Daphnia pulex: one gene and its partner. The protein of the gene in region 1 interacts with the protein of each later gene in a pairwise test. Links are inferred from orthologs where the notes say so. Each region holds a gene or a part of one and is shown in the gene's direction. Other genes may lie near its edges.

Region 1 (9,202 bases):
TAATCAGTAAAACACACTTACAGTTCAAAGCTGACGTCCCCACGCTGGAAAAACTTTAAGGGATTACGCCTACAGTGGAAAGATAAAATTCGTCTCAACAACTTGATTTGGCGTTGCTGGCACATGCAGTGTACGACTTTCTATACTTGGCATTTGAAATTATTATTAAATAAAAACTTTCCTTTTCAACAGTTATTGAAAGAAGAAACACAGCTGTGTGTCAGTTTGCTTCCCCTCTAGAAGTGGACCAACACAACAAACCTGAGGTAATATTTCCTTTCACATTTAAAATTTCACTGTTTAATAAATAATTGGTTATTCCTATATAGGCCGTCGTACTTGAGGGTAAATATTGGAAGCGTCGATTAGCGACCGTCACCGCTGAATACAAAAAGTGGCGAATCTTTTTCAAAAATCAAATGATGGGTCGTGCATCCAAAGATCTCAACGATATCGTGAGTCTTATACAATTTATTCATGGATAGTTGGTGAGAAAGCTTTAATCCAATTTTATCCCACCAGACCATGTGCGGGGAATTCGATCACTTAGATTGGTTTGCTCCGCGGAGCAACGGCAGTTTTAACTCAGGGACGGGTTCCCTCGCATTGGATGATGACCTCTTCATGGACTTTTCTGATACGCTCTTTTCAAGCTTATCATCTAATCAGCCTTTTCCCTTCCCCAATCCCAGAGAAATCGGTATGTAATCTGAAATTTTTAAAATATTGTATGGTGTAGAATAAATTTGTATTCACTTTTTTTCTTTTTCAGCGAAAGGAGCTGGTCTGGCTGATTTTATTCAACCTGGACTTATCCAGTTGCAACCCAATTTAGACGATTTCATGGATACTTTGGAACCGTTACACGGTTAGTATTTTTTCCCCCACCTGTCACGATATTAATATTTCATCAACAAAATTTTAAACTGTCTTTCAACCATGTAGAATTGCTTTCTGGACGTTTGCCGCCAGTTGAAGAAGAGATTGTCGCTGTGGAGGACAGTATAGCTGGACGAGCATCTGATCAACTTACTCAACGCCGCAACGATTTCCAATCGCATGACCATTCGCCTTATTGTGCCTCAACTTCTACCACTCCAGTCAGTGCCGCAACGATAGTCGTCACATCATCCTCGCCGCAGACTTTGCTCAATTATATGCCGATGGATCAGTCCAATCCGTCTTATTTATCAAATCCACAGTTCGCCAACGCTCATCGATCTTTGACAAGTCAGCAACATTCGCGGCCACAGCAGCAGCAGCAGCAGTATCATCTGCAATCACAGGAACAACTTCAACAGCAGCCGCACCCCAACGAACCCGTTTTCGGCCACCCCACAAAACTTGCCGTGTCACCGTCGTCGTCACAGGTTGACTCGTTTTGCAACTTGTTCGACTAAAACTAAATTAAATTTTCTTGGGTAGAATTCGGGATTCGAGTCCAACGTTAATGTTTCATCAGGAACGTCTCACCAGCTGCAGTCCCATCAAGTTCATTCGCCGGACGGATTCATCGCCTCTGGAGGATTCGATAGTACGAATTCTCATGCTGGGACTTTCCAGCGACAGAATAGCGGAGGTAGCGAGCATGGATTCGTCGTACCAACAGCACAGTTTGTAGGGATCGATATCTATTTCTGATTCTTATCCCAGTTCACTGTTGAGATGTCTTATTTGATATTTATCAGCAAGGAAAACAACGCAGTCGATCAAGAAGTGGGTCGGGAGCCAACACTGCTGGAAACGGCCCTACAGCCATCTCGGCACATGTGACCACTACTGCGCTTAGTGCCAGCCAGCCGGCGATCGGATCGAGTCGAGTTCAACGTAGCAAAGCCAGTGGAAATTCATGCAGCAGTAGTAGCCCAGCTCGCTTATTGAGCAACTCAGCAGGCACTCAAGAGGGCAATTTATCACGTAGCAGTCGCGGTCTTGGACGTCTGCGCTCCAGTTCTGACTTGCAACCTATCATGCCTGTGCCTACGTCAGCAGTTTCGACCCCGGCTACTGTTATACCTCGCACCATTCTTCCCGATAACAGCACTTTGCTGGCTCAGCTGTTGACGAACTCTAATCAAATAGGAGCACCATCAACCACTTTAGTTTTAACTGCCGACCCGTCAGCTTCGCGGTACGCTCAGTAATTGATCTCATTCATCGTCCATTCCCTACAATTAGTTTTGTTTTGCAGGATTCCCATCATTTTCCCACTTCAGAACACTGACTCAACGACAACTAAATTGGAAAAACCGTTAACCTTGTTGCCCACAACTATAAACCTTGAGTATTCCAATGATGGTCGTGCCTACAAGCAGGAGCCGTCCTCGAATGTGACCATGGTGGAAGAGCCAGCAGCAAACCAAACTGCTTCACGCAGCAGAAGTAGCGATGGCGAACGCACTCAGTACAGGGTATGCAAATTGTAAATATTTCAACACATTGGTTGACTAACTGTAGCTATCTGTCAATAGGAGCACCGACGAGTGTGCCACATCAACGCCGAACAGAAGCGTCGCTGCAATATCAAAAACGGTTTCGATACTTTGCAGTCGCTATTACCAGGCGGTGGATCAACGGGTGGATCTGGCAGTGGTCCAGCTGCGTCTAGCCATGGCAAAGCTAGTGACGTTAGCAAAGCCGCCATGCTCCATCGCGGTATATCATAATATCAATATATACAGTATATACAGGAGATATCATATTCGACCTCCATCAGGTGCGGAATACATCCGGCAGCTGCGCCAGGAGAGACAGCAGCAGCAAGAAGAAATGGATCAGTTGAAACAAAATATCGAAACGCTTAATGCGGCCATCAGGTTTGATTTAGGAAATTGTGAGTACATGCAGTTTTTATTAACCCGTTATGATTTGGTTTGACTAGCGGCTGCCAAGCACTCCTACCTGCTAATGGTGCTCCCGTTTCACGCCAGCGTAATAATCGGATGCGAGAAATGTTTGACGAATGGGTCCGAGTTCGAACTCTGCAGAACTGGAAATTCTGGATTGTAATTATTTTTTTTTTATTGACTAAAAAGCTAAATAATTCAATTTAAAAAATCGAATTACGATGTTTGAACTATCTTGTATATTTTCCAGTTTTCGATATTGATCCAACCACTCCTCGAGTCCTATAGTACGGCCCTTTCCGCTGCTACGTACGAAGATCTCTGGCAAAGTGTTTTAAATTGGGTTGACCAGTATTGTTCTCTGATAGCTCTTCGTCCTGGTAAACATTTTTGTTTTGTTTTACCATTTCGTCATAATTATTTATGTTTTGTTTCTAGTGGTATTCAATTCGCTCCGGAACTTGAGTAAAACAACCGACATTATAGCAAATCCGTCTAGATTACCGGCGGAAGCCACCCAAGCTGCCTGCAATCCGGATAGAACTACAACGCCCAACAACCTTCCGTCAACGACATAATCTTCCCCATTCACCACCGTCAAATCTACAATTTTTTCTCCCCTCTGTCGATCCCACAAATTTTCAACAACTTTCATTCCTCGATAAATTGCGAGGAATTTCAAGTTTCATGCGGCCTATGTTCATAATCGATGTAGTCATTATGTAGCAGATGTAGCATAACCCTATTATTATATAGACAGATGGAGATATTTTTTTTCAGTTCGCAATTTTATCTAATAGTGAATTCAGTGAAGGTTTATGACCTAGATTTTTAGTTTAGTTTTTAAGAGTGAGAGATGTAATCCAGAGTCATAGTGGAAAAAAGGCTAAGAAAAAAAAAACGAAAGAAATAATTTAAAAAAAGACGGAATAGTTTGTATTTGTCATGGTAGATTGTAAATTGATTTTTGGGTGGCTGTTATTTTGGGTTTTGTCCTACCGTTTTGCCCCTAACTTCTGTATCACAGGCGGCTCAAAAAAATATTTTTTTTTTGCTAACTCTTTAAATACGATATGTTAGAACAGCCTGATTTATTTTTATTACAGTTTTTTCCCACCTGCCTGGTTTGAAAAACAACAAAATACTTCCCCATCTATTAAGTGTTTCATATTTACTCTGCTCCCCCCTCCCCCACACACAATCGAACTTGGAAAAAACAATTGAAATACATGTTTGTTTTATTGTTACTCTTTTGCATCTTGGGAAGTACAAAGGATGCATGAATTCTATGATGTACAAAACATTTCGCTGAATCCGTAGATCGCACGTGGGTTGTTTTGTCGTTTTTATTTGAAAATAAATCGGTCAAGAGCATAGTTGAATGTAACTTCTATCTGAGATGATTCAATCATGTAAAAAATTTGTCAAATGTTGAACACAATCCACAAGAAAAGTATTACATTAACAATATTAAGACAACTTTGTATAAGATACTATATACAACGATGGAAATATAAAGGTTTCGTGGCACACATTGGTGAATCTTTTTCTTTGTTTTAAATTATTATAATAGTTAAGTGTTTTGTTTGATTGCGATTTGAGGGAATACAAAAGGAGTGCGTGGGCTGTGGGGGGTTATCTGTGGCTCTGGAGACGGGCAAAGGCGCTGGTGACTTGCACTTTAATTGGATCGGGAATGTCGTTGAATTTGGAGAAGAGCCCGTGCAGAAACTGGATCTCTTTTGACAGCTGCTCTACACGTCTCTCAAGTCTCTCCTTATCGGCCGACAGGACCGTGACACGTTGAGCCACTATGCGTGACTCGGCTTTGGCCTTCTCGCGGGATTTCTTCACGGCGATGTTGTTGAGAGTCCTTCGTCGTTTGTATTCGTCGCTATCTTTGCTGACGTTCTTGCCGCCCGATTTGAACCGACGACTTGTCGAGGCCGAGCTGCTCGTGGTCGAACGTCCGGCAGGGCTGGAAACGGCAGTGCCGTAAGGGCTGGGCATCATTGCCGACGTGTAGTCACTGGCGTCGGTCAAAGTGCTAGGTAGACAACGGCTGTCTTCATCCTCTTGCAAATGAGCTATCTCGCGTTTCACCATCGGCTGCGGCTGATAAGAGCCGGAATGCGATAAGTAATCGGCGACGCTTCCGATGTTTGAGTCTATCATTGCCTGCTTCAACACGGAAAATAAAACAAATGACACGATAAGTATGGCGTTCGTGAAATAATTGTTGGTGATTCTATGCGACAATACCTCGAGATCCATAGAAGTTTCCGCAACCTCCAGAGTTTCTGGATAATAATCGTAATGATCGGCAAATGGGATGATTTCGCCACTCATTGGCGGATGATCGTAGTCCAATAGGTGACCCTCAAGTTTCCCGCTGGTGGTGATGTCGAAGAATTCGGAATCAAAAAAAGACATACCGCGAACGGCTTTTGGTTTGTTGGGTGAATTGGTATACAGACGGGGGCTAAACTTTCACTGTGTAACAACAACTTGTGCGTTCGAGAATGATCTTTGGATTTGCACTGATCACCTCGACTTGTGTGTACGTGTCTGCTCTTGGCGGAGTCGCTAGAAAGAATGATGAAATCATGAAACGCACTGCGCTATTATACCGAGGGCCCGGGGACTGGAAACGCAATTTGGCTCCGCCCCTCCGGACGTGGTGCAATCGTCGAATGACTCGGCATGGCGGCGGTTGGTACGGCGTATAGTGACGTCACTGCTCCGGGGAAATCCCTAATAAGAAAATAAAAAAGCTGGGGAAAACCAAAGTCAACCATACTTCTACTACTCCCAGTTGGAACTAGTTTGAGGCGGAATGCTGGAAAAAACACTGACTCGTCAGCAAAAATGCAAATCAACGAGGGGCAAAGTGAAATTTTCTCTGCTGGCCGTGGAGGTCATTTGAATAAATACACACGCACAAAAAGTAGTGATGTCAATGTAATGTCATCCACTTCGTGTGCAAGCGATAAGCCCCGATTCTGGACGTCAACGTGACTAATGCTTGCCGATAACGCGTGCATATCAACCGACGACCCTGATTTCGTCTCCTCGTTTCCTTTTTAATTAACGAAATATTATCGAAATTTTGTCAAGGATCCGTCTCAAGTAGAATCGTGCGCACATGTGCATGAAGGCATCAAGTCTATCTTGGAAAAATAACCTATGTCGTGGTTGTTTTTTAATTTGTTTTCTGTGGAAAAGGGTGATTCACGTGTTGAGAACAAACACACAAAAAAAAAACAAGAGTTGACCGATTTGTGGTTTCTTTTTTATATTTTCCCGTCCGGGTTTCGTGACGTCAAACGAGAACTCGCTGACGTCATAGAACGCAGGTTTCTAGAAAATCTACGCACATGCGCAGGCAGGATGACGTCGGCCAATCACAAACCAGTTTCGGCGGAAATGGGCGGAGTCATTCGCATCGGAATGTTATCGTTCAACAGAAAAAAGCAGACCGAAAGCAAACAAAATAATATAAAGTCTAATCCTCATAAGTCATTTTAACCGTCGTCGCTTTGTTATAATATGCGCAGCTGAATTCGGTTGAAAGATAATAACGACTACGACGTCCTACTAAAAAACATCGACATTTTTTTGTTGGTGGTTTGATATCTGTTGCTATATGCTTGCATGTCGACTTGGTTGATCAAAACCGGTTCAAACTGCTTGGGAAAACCGAAAATACAGCAAGTCCGGGCAAGTTCTGAAACAATAACCCGTTCGAATCAAGAAAAATTACCATATTCCACTGGGACTTTCTAATAGTGTCAATTTTATATTTTTAAAATTTAAAATAGGGAGATTTGATTATTCGATTTCATTTCAATCTTTCGTTTTTTTTATTTAAAAAAATGAGTTTGCATCAATGAGAACACACGTGTTTGAAATACTCGCATGAAATGGAGCAAAGCGAGATGGGTTATCAAACAAAGAATTTTATGAAGGTTAAAAATAAGAAAATAAACGTTCAGTGACTCGAATCGGAATCTTCGGATAGGGCACTGCTTTGCCCAGCCACTCTACACTGGTGCAAAATAGCCTCTTCGAAAGCTTTCTTGACGGCCTTACGTTCCGTCTGCTTCTTGGATTCAATCAGTTTCGCTTTATCACGATCAGGATCCACTCCAAGTGGCTCCAACTTATCTCTGGGCAACCATTGCCTGTAATCAACAACAAATTCAGCCATTATCACAATTGCGTCTGGTGTAAAGAATTAAGCTGTGGCAAATAAAACTAACGAATACTAACCAAGTCCGTTTGGCATCGAAGAATAAAACCAGAAAGGCTGGTGGTTGAACTCCAGCTCCCATTAAGAGAACTTCTTCGGGTGGTATGGCGATGGGGACTCCATTATGTACATAACCACTCCTGGGCCAGGAAGGATCGACAATCTAATGGAAAATGTAGACCTCGAATTAGAACTAATTCAGTACCAAATCCTAGAAATACGTTTTTACCAGAGCTGGATACCAGGGATAACCTCGACACTTCGCCCAAACGAGATCAAGTGGCTGTAGTGGAATCAAATTACAAGGCAAAAGTGAAGTAGAACTATGCTGATGTCGAGGAGGAGATGCTGAACTATCGTCACTTGACTGGCGATCAGATTCATCGCCAGAATCCGAATCACTACTGCTACTGCTTCCACTGCTGCTCCCTTCACTCCCAGACGATTCACTCGATCCTCGATGTGAATCCTCTTCGTCGTCTAATCTGTTGGTGCGATAAACTTTGAAACTTTCACTCTCAATGTTGGGAAGGTGAATAGCTCCAGGCTGCTGAACCGAAGCAAATAGCTTGTCACTTTCTGGATGCTTTTGCTTCTTCCTTTTGTTTAGATCCGTAGCTGCAACTGCAGCTGCCACAAATAAATTGGTGGATGCACTGGTGTTGGTGCCACTGGGTCCTGGTTGAGAAGTACTATTTTCTGAAACTTTTCGCGGCCTTCCACCTGCCCGTCTAGGTGGCGAAGTGCTTCCGGATGGTTCAGGCTTCTTGAAAGCCGCTGCGGCAGCTGCTTTCTTGGTGAAAAGCACCGCTGTTCGTCTATTGACACCCGATGGAGACCCAGTCAGCTGTTGCGGATTCACGGAGCTGATTTTTACTGGAGTTACTGGAACTGGAGGAACGATCGTCTCCAATTCCGGCGTTACTGGCACTGCTGCTACTGGAATTGCCGCAACGGCAACAGGGGTCGATGCGATAGATGTAGATGCCGGAGTAGAATTACGTTTCAGGACTTTAGCAACTAATCGATTCTTATTTGTAATGGATGGCGTGCTCTTTTCATCCGAATCCGTTTTGGGCGTTCGGGTGATAAAGTGATCAATCTTTAGTTGACGGGCGGCCGCTACGGATCGAGGCGAAGCCTTGACTGGAGGACCAGCAATACTAGAATCGCTGCTGCTTTTACTGCTACTGCTGCTGCTGCTGCTGCTACTCCCGCTGCTACTACTTCCGCTCGAATCCGAGTCACTGCTGCCTTCATCACGTGTTTCATTTTCAGGTCGTGATTTCGATGGACTGCTACTGCTGCTCCGGGTAGCAGCCGCTCTCCCGCCAGCTTGCAAAGACAATTTCCTACGAACTTTGGCCAATTCGTTTCTCAAAATTCGGATTCGTTTAACTTTGAGGGGTCCAGTTGGCATTTGTTGAGCTTTACGCAGGAATTCTTCGAGTTTCGAAAGCTGCTGTTCAAGGGTATCAGATTCACGATACTTTTCCGAGACGTACTTATCGATTTCTTCGACTTTGCTTTCAGGTTGACTTATTTCCGACGGTGGCAGTGGAGTTAAGTTGCTGCTACTGTCGCAATTGTTGTTGCTGATGACTAATGTTTCCAAATCCTTTCGAAGTTGTTTAAATAGAACCTGAGCACCTTCTTTGAGCTTGATTGCTTGCTTATAATACATGGTGTGCTGTGCATTATAGACAGTGCAATTGTGGATCATCAGGTTGAAATCTTTTTCGAAAGCTTCCAGCGTTGGATATTGCCCAGCGTCCAACTTGTTCTGCATTGTCGAAAAGTCCATCGGTTGTTGTATAAAATCGAGATAGTCGGGGACTTGGCTGATGTCAACCGGATCGGCAAAAATGTCGTTGTTATCACGCTCCTTCAGAGTTTGTAACAAACGTCGCATTAGATACTGCAACGGATAGATTTGGAGTTCCAATTCCTTCTCTTTAATCCGCATCAATTCTCGCTTCGTTTTCTCTCTTTTGCGAATCAACTCGCATAACAGCCGAGCTCGTTCCAAATCCTGACGAAGTCGTTGAAAATAACGCAGTTGGCCTAAGAGATCGTCAGGCTGAACAATCTGATCACCGCCCAA
Region 2 (9,543 bases), on another chromosome or scaffold:
ACGGAATCTGTTCCGCCAACCAAGAAGACGTGGTTTGAGCAAACACTTTCAGAATTCGGCTGAGCGATGTTAAATTTCTCAAAATCTAACCTGAATTTTTAAAAATCCCCCAAAAGTGTTAACTCACCACTTGTCAAAATTTAAAAAAAAATTTAAAATTTAAACCGAACTGACCGCAATTGGCAGATGGGTCCGCGCTGCTCCGCGGTCGCCGGATCTAATTTAACAGTGACAACGCAGGAAGAATCAGGATAGATGGTAGTGGGCGATCGCCAGTAGGTGTTGTTGTATTGGACAGTACCACTGCAAGTAGTCAACGTGTCTGTAAATGTATCCAATCAATGTCAAACTGAAACCCACTAAAATATTTGTTTAAAAAAACAATTTTACTTGTGCAACAAACACCTCCGTTTGGGCAAGCTCCACTAGAGATTCCTCTTCTCATATTGCAATTGATTAGTGAAGCGCAATAGCCCAAGTCCCCAGATGCTGCGGTGCAACTGGTAAAGTCTCCTTGGATGAAGCTTCTCATTTGGGACAAACTGTTTTGCGGGTTCCCACCACTGAGAAGTGAGAGTCCGGCCAAAGATATTCCGATTGCTCCGCCGATACCGGTAATTGTAGTCACAAAATCGACGATTACATCGGTAAGTGCGATGCTGTCGGTATCGGACAGCTGTTTGCTTTGAGATTTATTTCCTAAAACTTGAATTGCAATTATTTATTTTAACATCTTTTATTGGGTCCGAAACCGCAAAATATTCAAGGGCAATGAAATACCTTTTAGATTGTTGTTGAGTTTCCATCGATTGCTGATTTTCAGTGGCGATCTCCCGCTGATTACGACCGAATTGTTTGTAACAAATTCTTTTCCACAAAAGATCATCAAGGTTATTGATCGACAGAAAAATTTATGTTATAAGATTTATTTACCTATCAGTGATTTAATGTTCACAGGTACTAGACGGTTGTTTGAAATCAGTTGCCTTGGATAGTAGAGGAATTTGTGATGCCGGAACACGTTTGGCTGTAGAGAATTCGCGTTGAATCGATTGTAATCATCAAGAATGTGATTGTAATCGACGGTTTGCGACGGTATAGGAAACACGAAGATGAAAATCATCCAATTTCGAATAAAGACTGACAATGTCATTTCCTCTAGCGCTAGCAATTATACGAGGGTCTCCTCCTATCAATGCTCAATCACCGTCCGATAGCAGGTCCCTTTTATATTCTCATTCGATTTGATTATTTCAATCTTTCCAATGAACCAGTTTTCTATCGCTCCGCCCTTTACAGATGCTAAAAATAAATCGGTGATGAAAGCGACGGTAAATCTAGTGAGGATGTTATCAGCTAAGCAATTAAAAAGATACACTATAGCTTTTTTATTTCTTTTCTTGAAGATTAATATTCACGGGGTCGTCGTCGGGAATAATAATAATAGACACCGGCATCTGATGTGTCCGTTTGCTCCCATTTGCCGCTGGAAATCGACTCAAAATAAAACTAATAACTGGTGGGGCAATTTGCATTCAGTTTTGGCATTTGAAGCTATAAGAAGCAATTGACCACCCGACCTTACAAGCTGTGAACGTGACTAATTTAAATGAAATGCTATTTCTGTATCAGCAATAAAGGTATTTGCAGCGATTTCAATATGCAAATTAAATCGTTCGAGCACCTTCCGATGAACTCATTTGACTCACTATAGCGGAAACGGAATCTTGAATCGGGTTTTGAGCGGCCTTGCTTCAAATTGGCGCGCCGTAAAAAGGTTAAAAGTTCACAATCAAAATTATTATTTGACTGGCGTATAAGATTACGGATTTGCATTTAACGTCATTAAAAGCTTACAAGGATTCCCCGATAAAACAAGCACATTCGAAAACCCCTTCCTATTTTATTTGACTCGTAGGGTACTTTTACAGTGTATAACAATTTAGGGCCACTTTTATTTTGCACTGACTGGACGAAAACAGGGCTACACAAATTGTTTTTTTATTAACAAGCAATCCACCACTCAACCGCACCAAATCCATGGACCCCACTTTTTTTTCCCATTCCGCTATGGGACCAAGAAATCTGAAATAATTCAGGCATATCCAGTTTTTTACTCCGGATTCACCTGTTTTTGCAGAATTTAAATATTCCCTGCCGTTCGGGAGATATTTAATGTTAAAGTTTGAGTTTTTTCAAATTTTAACAATTTTAGGGGGTCTTTGGCATCGCTTTTTGGGTAAATGCTAACCTTTAAAAACAAACAAATTCAACCAAAAGTTTGCTCGGCCATCCCTTAATACCAATCCAAAAGGAATTTACATTCCGAATTAGATTGGTCGAGTTATTCCCAATCTAGTAAAGTGTAATTTTGACCAGTTTCCCACCCAGCCTAGTCGCCATTATTTATGACTCTCCCTCGCGTTCCTAGCGGATGACAGACGAAGCATACGAGTTCTCTACACCTCGGGCTTCATATTGCCGGCCACTAGACTATATGAAAAGGCCTTCAGTATGTCCCCCGGTCTAAAGTGAAGGCCAGGAAAGCGTAGCTTCGTCTGTCATCCGCTAGGAACGTGAGGGAGAGTAATAAAAAATGGCGACTAGGCTGGGTGGGAAACTGGTCAAAATTACACTTTACTAGATTGGGAATAACTCGACCAATCTAATTCGGAATGTAAATTCCTTTTGGATTGGTATTAAGGGATGGCCGAGCAAACTTTTGGTTAAATTTGTTTGTTTTTAAAGGTTAGCATTTACCCAAAAAGCGATGCCAAAGACCCCCTAAAATTGTTAAAATTTGAAAAACTCAAACTTTAACATTAAATATCTCCCGAACGGCAGGGAATATTTAAATTCTGCAAAAACAGGTGAATCCGGAGTGAAAAACTGGATATGCTTGAATTATTTCAGATTTCTTGGTCCCATAGCGGAATGGGAAAAAAAGTGGGGTCCATGGATTTGGTGCGGTTGAGTGGTGGATTGCTTGTTAAATCATTCACCATTTAATTGCGAATCACAAGCTACGGTGGTAAACTGGGTCACGCAGAGCTATACAACATATAGATTCAACCTCCTCTTTCTAAGTATATCGCTACTAGTTACTATTTTCTGATTTCTGGAGAAATTGGTAGACGGAAGAAAAGTCTTTCTTGGCGTAGCCTCGAACAGTCATCAATCGATAGAGTTGGTGGGCAAGTGATCCCAGCGGGATCGCGGAATTGGAACGAGTCGCTGAATTCTGGGCGAGGCCAAGATCTTTCGTCATTAGGGCCGTTCCGAATCCCCCTTCATAGTTGTTTGAGGCTGGGACGTTTGGCAAGACACCAGGTACTGGATTGTAAATTTCACTGGACCAGGAGCGACCGGAACTTGTGTTGATAATACTGCTCAACAATTTAGGATCCAGTCCCAATCTTAATCAATAGGAAAATAGACGATGGTTATTGTAAGTTTTAATGATTCCCAAGTCGGTAATTACCTAACGCCAAGATTCATGGCTTCAGCTGTTCCAACCATATTGATTGCCAACAACATGTTATTGCAAATTTTGGCGGCTTGGCCCGATCCTACTGGACCGCAGTACACAATGTTTTTACCAACATGCTCTAGTATCGCTCTGGCATTAGGAAACTGTTCTTCAGGTCCTCCAACCATGAAAGTCAAGGTTCCAGCTTTAGCAGCCATCACACCTGCAAATAGCCATGAAAATGATGAATCACAATGATTTCATATTTAAAGTAAAGTTATTATACCTCCAGAAACTGGGGCATCAATGAAAATCATTCCCTTCTTTTCAGCTAGAGCTGCCATTTCTTTAGAGACACTGGGATCTATGGTACTGCTGTCAATCAGTAAAGATCCTGGCTTTGCCGTCCTTTATACATGATTCAGAGTTATTTTAAGAAGTCCTGCAGTATTTATCTGTTTAAATATTACTGGAAGACACCATTTTCTCCCGCATATGCTTCTTGTACATGGCCGCTGTTTGGCAACATGGTAATGATGGTATCTGATTTTTCTGCCACTTCGGCAGGGTTATGGCCAACTGATGCTCCTGCATCTTGTAGTTTTGACATAGCCTCTGGATACACATCAAATACAGTTACAGAGTTGCCCTGAAATGAAAAACAACAACAATGAGGAATGTGGAATTAATGAAACTACATAGTACAACAATAGCAATACCTTGTTTAATAAATTCAAGGCCATAGGTCCGCCCATGTTCCCGAGTCCAATAAAGCCAACCCGTTTGCCCGATCCATGATGGACTGTTGAACCTATTATTATTTCAAAAATACATTATTCGCAACACCATTCCTTAAAAATGTAACCAAATATACGCACTAGCAACTACATGGTAATAAAAACCCTTTAAGATTCGATAGCTAAGTAGGCTTAATGTATTTTTATCGAGTACTAAAGTGCAGAGGAAATGATGGAAAATAAAACTTACACGAAAATGAACGGTGTTTCCCGATTACTTTGATTAATACTGCGGCATTCCGGGTTACATTCGTTAACGCAGCCATCGTCTTCTGCTTGTTTTTAGTGAATGGAATTTGTATGGGGAAGTTGGTCGTCTGTTTACACCATTTTCCAGCGCCCTCTATACTGGCATACAAATTTAGAAAAACGTAATCTCATTACATCTCTCTTATTTCAGAAAAGAAAACCAAGAAATTCTCTGGAGGAATTACTCAAAATTATTGAAAAAAGTTTTTTTTGCGTAATTTTGGGCTTACGTGCCGATATCTAATTTACCGACAGGTGGCGTGTGACGGATAGCAACAAAGATTGTTGTTCGAAGATAAACATATACGAGTGTTAACCTTCACAGAGAGATCTTGTTTGCTTTACATTTACAATGGACCACAGAAGCCATATGACATTAAGTATATATTTCATATAAATAGCCTACCAAATTTATGTGCATTGACGTTTTACGCATTTTGTAGTTGGTGCCGAAAGTCGGCTGAGTTTCGACGGAAAAACAGAACCTTCAAGTCCAATAGATAAAATTGGAATTGGTGACAAGACCCCGTTTTCCCGTTGTAGTAGTACCAGCAGCATTCACACTCTTTCTTCCTCTGCACAAAATACAGGTAGTTAACCAATTGATGGAATAGTTCGAATCACTTCTAAAGTTGTGTTTTTTTGTTTATAATTTTATAGATGATGAAGACAGTGATTGTAAAAGCACAAAAAGTTACAAGGAGAGAAGACGAGAGGCCCATACTCAGGCAGAGCAAAAGAGACGGGATGCTATCAAGAAAGGTTACAGCTCTCTGCAGGATCTAGTACCAACATGTCAGCAACAAGATCCAATCAGTGGATATAAACTGAGTAAAGCAACAGTTCTTCAACGATCAATTGATTACATTCAGGTAAATTAGCCGCATGCATTCGACATCCTACCTTGAATAATGGTGTGGTTGCATGGGGTTTTATAGTTCCTCCAGCAACAGAAAAAGAAGCAGGAAGAAGAACTATCAGCCTTAAGAAAAGAGGTAATTGGTCTCCAGATCATGAAAAGTAACTATGACCAAATTGTGAAGGCAAACCAGACTCAGGCTGGACAATCTGAGAATAGAGTACCTGATGAAATGAAATTCCAATTGGTAATTCATTTTTAAAAAATCAGTCAGACTTTATGTTTGTTACTTTTGTTTTATCTCTGTTTTACAGTTCCAAACTATAATGGAAAATCTTTTCCTGACATTTGATTCCATGGTCTCTGCTGCAAGCTTTGTTGACCTGTCGAGTAATGTCTTTTCCTGGGTTGAGGAGCATTGCAAACCACAGGTTCAAGTGTGCATTGGTCATATTTCTATTACACTTCTGATAATATTTTGTGTGGGCTGCAGAGTTTGAAAAACTTGGCAGTGAGTGTACTTCAGACGCTCGTGACTGGGTCCAATTGAGTCCAGCCGATTAGGATAAACACCATGAACCAGCTTGTCAATATGCCACACAACTTCCGATCATTATTGCCGTAATCCCAGCACTTTGCGCCAGAGATCGCTGGGAAAATATTACACGTCCTCAAGGGGCTTATGCGAGAAACCGCCAAAGAAATTTCTAAACTCAACCGATTGCAATGTTTTAGTCTGTGTAAAGTTGTGTTATTATCCGGAATAGAATTTATATCGTACTTTCGATTGCGATGTATGATATTTTTCATCGTTAAACCACCGTGTTCATTATATAATATTTAAACGTTTTCGTACGCCATCTACGCCATCTAGTAATAGATTTCGAAAAATGTGCCTTCAGGCTATTTTGATCCAAGTGAAAATGAAAATAGAGGTCGCTTACTCGACACAATTTCGTCTGCATTCACCAGCGTAGCACCGAGTGAGTTGAGAGTGTCTGTTGTTTTTAGTTGCACTTTGGACGGTCAAATGTGCGAGATGCAAAGTTGTTTTTCCACCTAATAAAGTCTAGTCTCTACCTGTATACAATCTACTCGACTGGATACTTCACCTTTCAATCTTTGGGTGTTTGTGCAGTTTGATTTTTTCAAAAGCTCTCTCGATCGACAATTGCGTCTACCGTCAACAAAGGTTGGTGAAATCGTTTAGAATCGTTTTGAGTTTCTTTTCGAAAGTTTTGCTGTACACATTCTTTGACTTTTTCTATTGTGTTTAATGTTGTAAGCCAAGTTGAACCACCTGATTTCATCTGCCATCGCATAGCCCCACAAAGACAACAATTTGATATACCAGAGGCTAAATTAATTGCTCTAGGCCTGACGTCACGTACACCCTCACGTACACCCTCCTCAACCACCCCAATTAATTTTCTTTTTGTGTGTAACACGGCTTCCTTTAGTTTGGGTTGATGACGTCGTCAATTCAAAAAATATAAACCTAAATTCTTTCAAGTACTAGGAATCTATGTGGGGGGTTCGAGATAATATGTCCGTGTCATGTTTTGTTGGCATTTCGACGTCGAATAAATCTAAAGAATGTCTTTTTAATTTTAAATTTTCTTTAGACATTATCTGCTTATAAGAAATGAGGCTCACGGCCCTCACTGCCAGCAACGTCCGTAACCTGTCGCGGATGCTGGATCATTATTCCCATTTCAATCCGTCTCCATTGTCCGTCAAGCAGTTTATCGATTTCGGTAAGCCACAAGGAAAAAATAATATAACTTTTTATCAATGTTCTATTTGCTAGTCTCCAAAAATATTTGGACTCGTATACGGACTATCTAGAAGGTCAAACGGCTGACTTGTTTGTTTGTTTGTTTACCCGAGTTGAAAGGTTTCTTATATTGGGAAAGCTTTGTAAGTTGTTTTGAATCAAGTCGAGAAATATCTAGCCGGTAAACAACAACAGGTTTTTAAATAAAACCGGGTTATGTGTGTAGTATATTTGCCATTTTTGTTTTGGTTTTTCTGGACGTGAGCCCAACACGTCATCGTGACTTGCACACACGTACGGGAGTCCCAAAACAAAAATAAAAAGCTCTACATTTAGTATTTTTGTGTGTCTGGACTTATATTTTGTTGGTCCCTTTCATTTGAAAATGTAGGTCGCAGCGCAAATGAAGTCCGATCGTTTGAGTTTCTGCGCAAAGAGATACCCGTTCGCCTTGCCAACATTATGCAAGAGATCAATCTCTTGCCACAGAATCTACTGAGAATGCCCTCCGTTCATTTGGTCCACAACTGGTATGTCAAGAGTTTCAAAGAAATTCTCGAGTTTGAAGATATCAAAAGCGTCGACAACAAAAAACTTAACGAGTTGGTGACAATCTCTCTTGATTTGTTATAAAAATATTTCATTTAATTTTTTTTCTTTATCTGTTCAAACAAAAATTTAGATTCTGCGAGGCTTTGATCAAGATTAGAAATCGTCACGCCGATGTCGTGCCGACCATGGCCAAAGGTGTGATTGAATTGCGTGAATCGCATCCGGTCGACCAGACGATTGAACATCGAATTCATTATTTTCTCGATCGTTTCTACATGTCCAGGATCGGCATCCGCATGCTCATCAATCAACACAGTAAAGACAAAAAATATTTCACAAAAATTTCCAGTTTGAATTTAAATTTAAATTTTTGACTTTCAATTGCAGCGCTGCTGTTTGGTGGACAAATGAACAACACCCGACATATCGGCTGCATCGATCCCAATTGCGACGTCCAGTCTGTGGTGCGCGATGCCTATGAAAACGCCAAATTCCTTTGCGATCAGTATTACCTGGCCTCTCCCGATTTGGAAGTCAAAGAACATAATAGTATAAAAACACCTTTTAACATATTTTCAGCAATTGAATTGAATTATTCTTTGCAGACTTGGAGCCTGGTATTCCCATTCAGATCGTTTATGTACCGTCACACCTCTACCACACATTGTTTGAATTGTTCAAGAACGCCATGAGAGCCGTGGTTGAACATCACGGTGCTGCCGCTCGAGATTATCCACCAGTTCAGGTGCTGGTCATTCGAGGGAAAGAAGATGTTACCATTAAGGTTAAAATTTAGATTCATTCCCATCAAGAGAAATGGAATGTTTAATTTTTTGTTTTTGGATAGGTCTCTGATAGAGGTGGAGGTGTCACTCGATCAGACATGAAGAACCTCTTCCATTACATGTACTCCACCGCTCCGCAACCGTCGCTGTCGGATACGGATTCCGCTCCCCTGGCCGGTAAATTTCAATTGACAGAATTGACAATTTTTGATATTTGACCTTTGGAATTTTTTGGGATCAGGTTACGGTTACGGTTTGCCGCTGTCACGTTTGTATGCTCGCTATCTGCTGGGCGATCTGACTCTGACGTCATGCGAGGGCTATGGCACGGATGCCTACGTCTTTCTCAAGGCCATCAGCGAGGAGGCCAACGAAATGTTGCCCGTTTTCAATCACAGCTCCACCCGTCAGTACAGCTCACCTTTGCCCACTCGCGATTGGGTCAGCTTCGGTGGCGGCTCGGCCTCATCGCCCGCCAGAGTCCGTCACCTGTCCACCAAGGTCCCAGGCCCATTCGATTCAATAGTATAGTGCAATTCGGGGCCAACACACACAGCTAAAATTACCCAATTACCTATCAATACCAGAATTTTGGTAAAATAATACCAAATATTACAACAAAAAATGAGCTAAGATTTACTATCATAATGGCCAGCATGTTTTAAAATAGATTTAATTTGAAAAGAAAAATTATAATATCTACCTAAACACCATTGAAACGGTAGGAGAAAATGATTTAGAGAATCCACCGGGGTTTTTATTCTTTTAAATGTTTTATTCATTTTAATTTTTTGTAGAATTATCAATCTCATTTGAATGTTGAAATGGTTTTTAGTGGCCATTTATATTAAGATTTTCATTTGTCATCAAACGATATTGCTCGGCGAAAGGGTAAATGATCAGTTAATCTTGTGATGGACCCCCCAGTGTTTTGTTATTATCACGGAGAAGAGTCTTGCCACACTTTCATATCCGCATTGTCGTTGTCAAGTAAACCACAAGGATTAATCGCGTACAACTTTACATTGGCAACCCACATACTCCTTTGGGTCCCT

Evidence for each region.
Region 2: the proteins of carbohydrate-responsive element-binding protein-like (region 1) and max-like protein X interact in binary tests that used the Caenorhabditis elegans proteins (3 or more experiments, as listed by UniProt). The link is inferred for Daphnia pulex from reciprocal best matches to the Caenorhabditis elegans genes mml-1 and mxl-2.

What each region holds. Positions count from the first base shown.
Region 1 is NC_060023.1:7,796,377-7,805,578, reverse strand, and holds the end of carbohydrate-responsive element-binding protein-like, read left to right. Parts: intron 1-23; coding exon 24-130; intron 131-192; coding exon 193-266; intron 267-329; coding exon 330-455; intron 456-522; coding exon 523-700; intron 701-772; coding exon 773-868; intron 869-945; coding exon 946-1,370; intron 1,371-1,425; coding exon 1,426-1,617; intron 1,618-1,688; coding exon 1,689-2,131; intron 2,132-2,191; coding exon 2,192-2,411; intron 2,412-2,471; coding exon 2,472-2,655; intron 2,656-2,716; coding exon 2,717-2,816; intron 2,817-2,881; coding exon 2,882-3,005; intron 3,006-3,096; coding exon 3,097-3,226; intron 3,227-3,284; coding exon 3,285-3,424; 3' UTR 3,425-4,093; downstream 4,094-9,202. Other genes in the region: CCAAT/enhancer-binding protein beta-like, read right to left, coding at 4,482-5,027, 5,109-5,279; bromodomain-containing protein 1-like, read right to left, coding at 6,838-7,030, 7,119-7,261, 7,328-9,202. UniProt on the Caenorhabditis elegans protein: Transcription factor that binds to the E box motif 5'-CACGTG-3', probably in a heterodimeric complex with mxl-2.
Region 2 is NC_060026.1:14,951,647-14,961,189, forward strand, and holds max-like protein X, read left to right. Parts: upstream 1-4,750; 5' UTR 4,751-4,867; coding exon 4,868-4,895; intron 4,896-4,958; coding exon 4,959-5,105; intron 5,106-5,175; coding exon 5,176-5,387; intron 5,388-5,453; coding exon 5,454-5,621; intron 5,622-5,688; coding exon 5,689-5,805; intron 5,806-5,867; coding exon 5,868-5,924; 3' UTR 5,925-6,159; downstream 6,160-9,543. Other genes in the region: uncharacterized protein LOC124204377, read right to left, coding at 1-90, 175-322, 391-705, 781-867, 934-1,153; 3-hydroxyisobutyrate dehydrogenase, mitochondrial-like, read right to left, coding at 3,098-3,416, 3,482-3,692, 3,756-3,877, 3,940-4,118, 4,189-4,280, 4,457-4,532; pyruvate dehydrogenase (acetyl-transferring) kinase, mitochondrial-like, read left to right, coding at 7,020-7,131, 7,543-7,753, 7,834-8,018, 8,091-8,252, 8,309-8,487, 8,551-8,665, 8,730-9,019. UniProt on the Caenorhabditis elegans protein: Transcription factor. Binds to the E box motif 5'-CACGTG-3', probably in a heterodimeric complex with mml-1.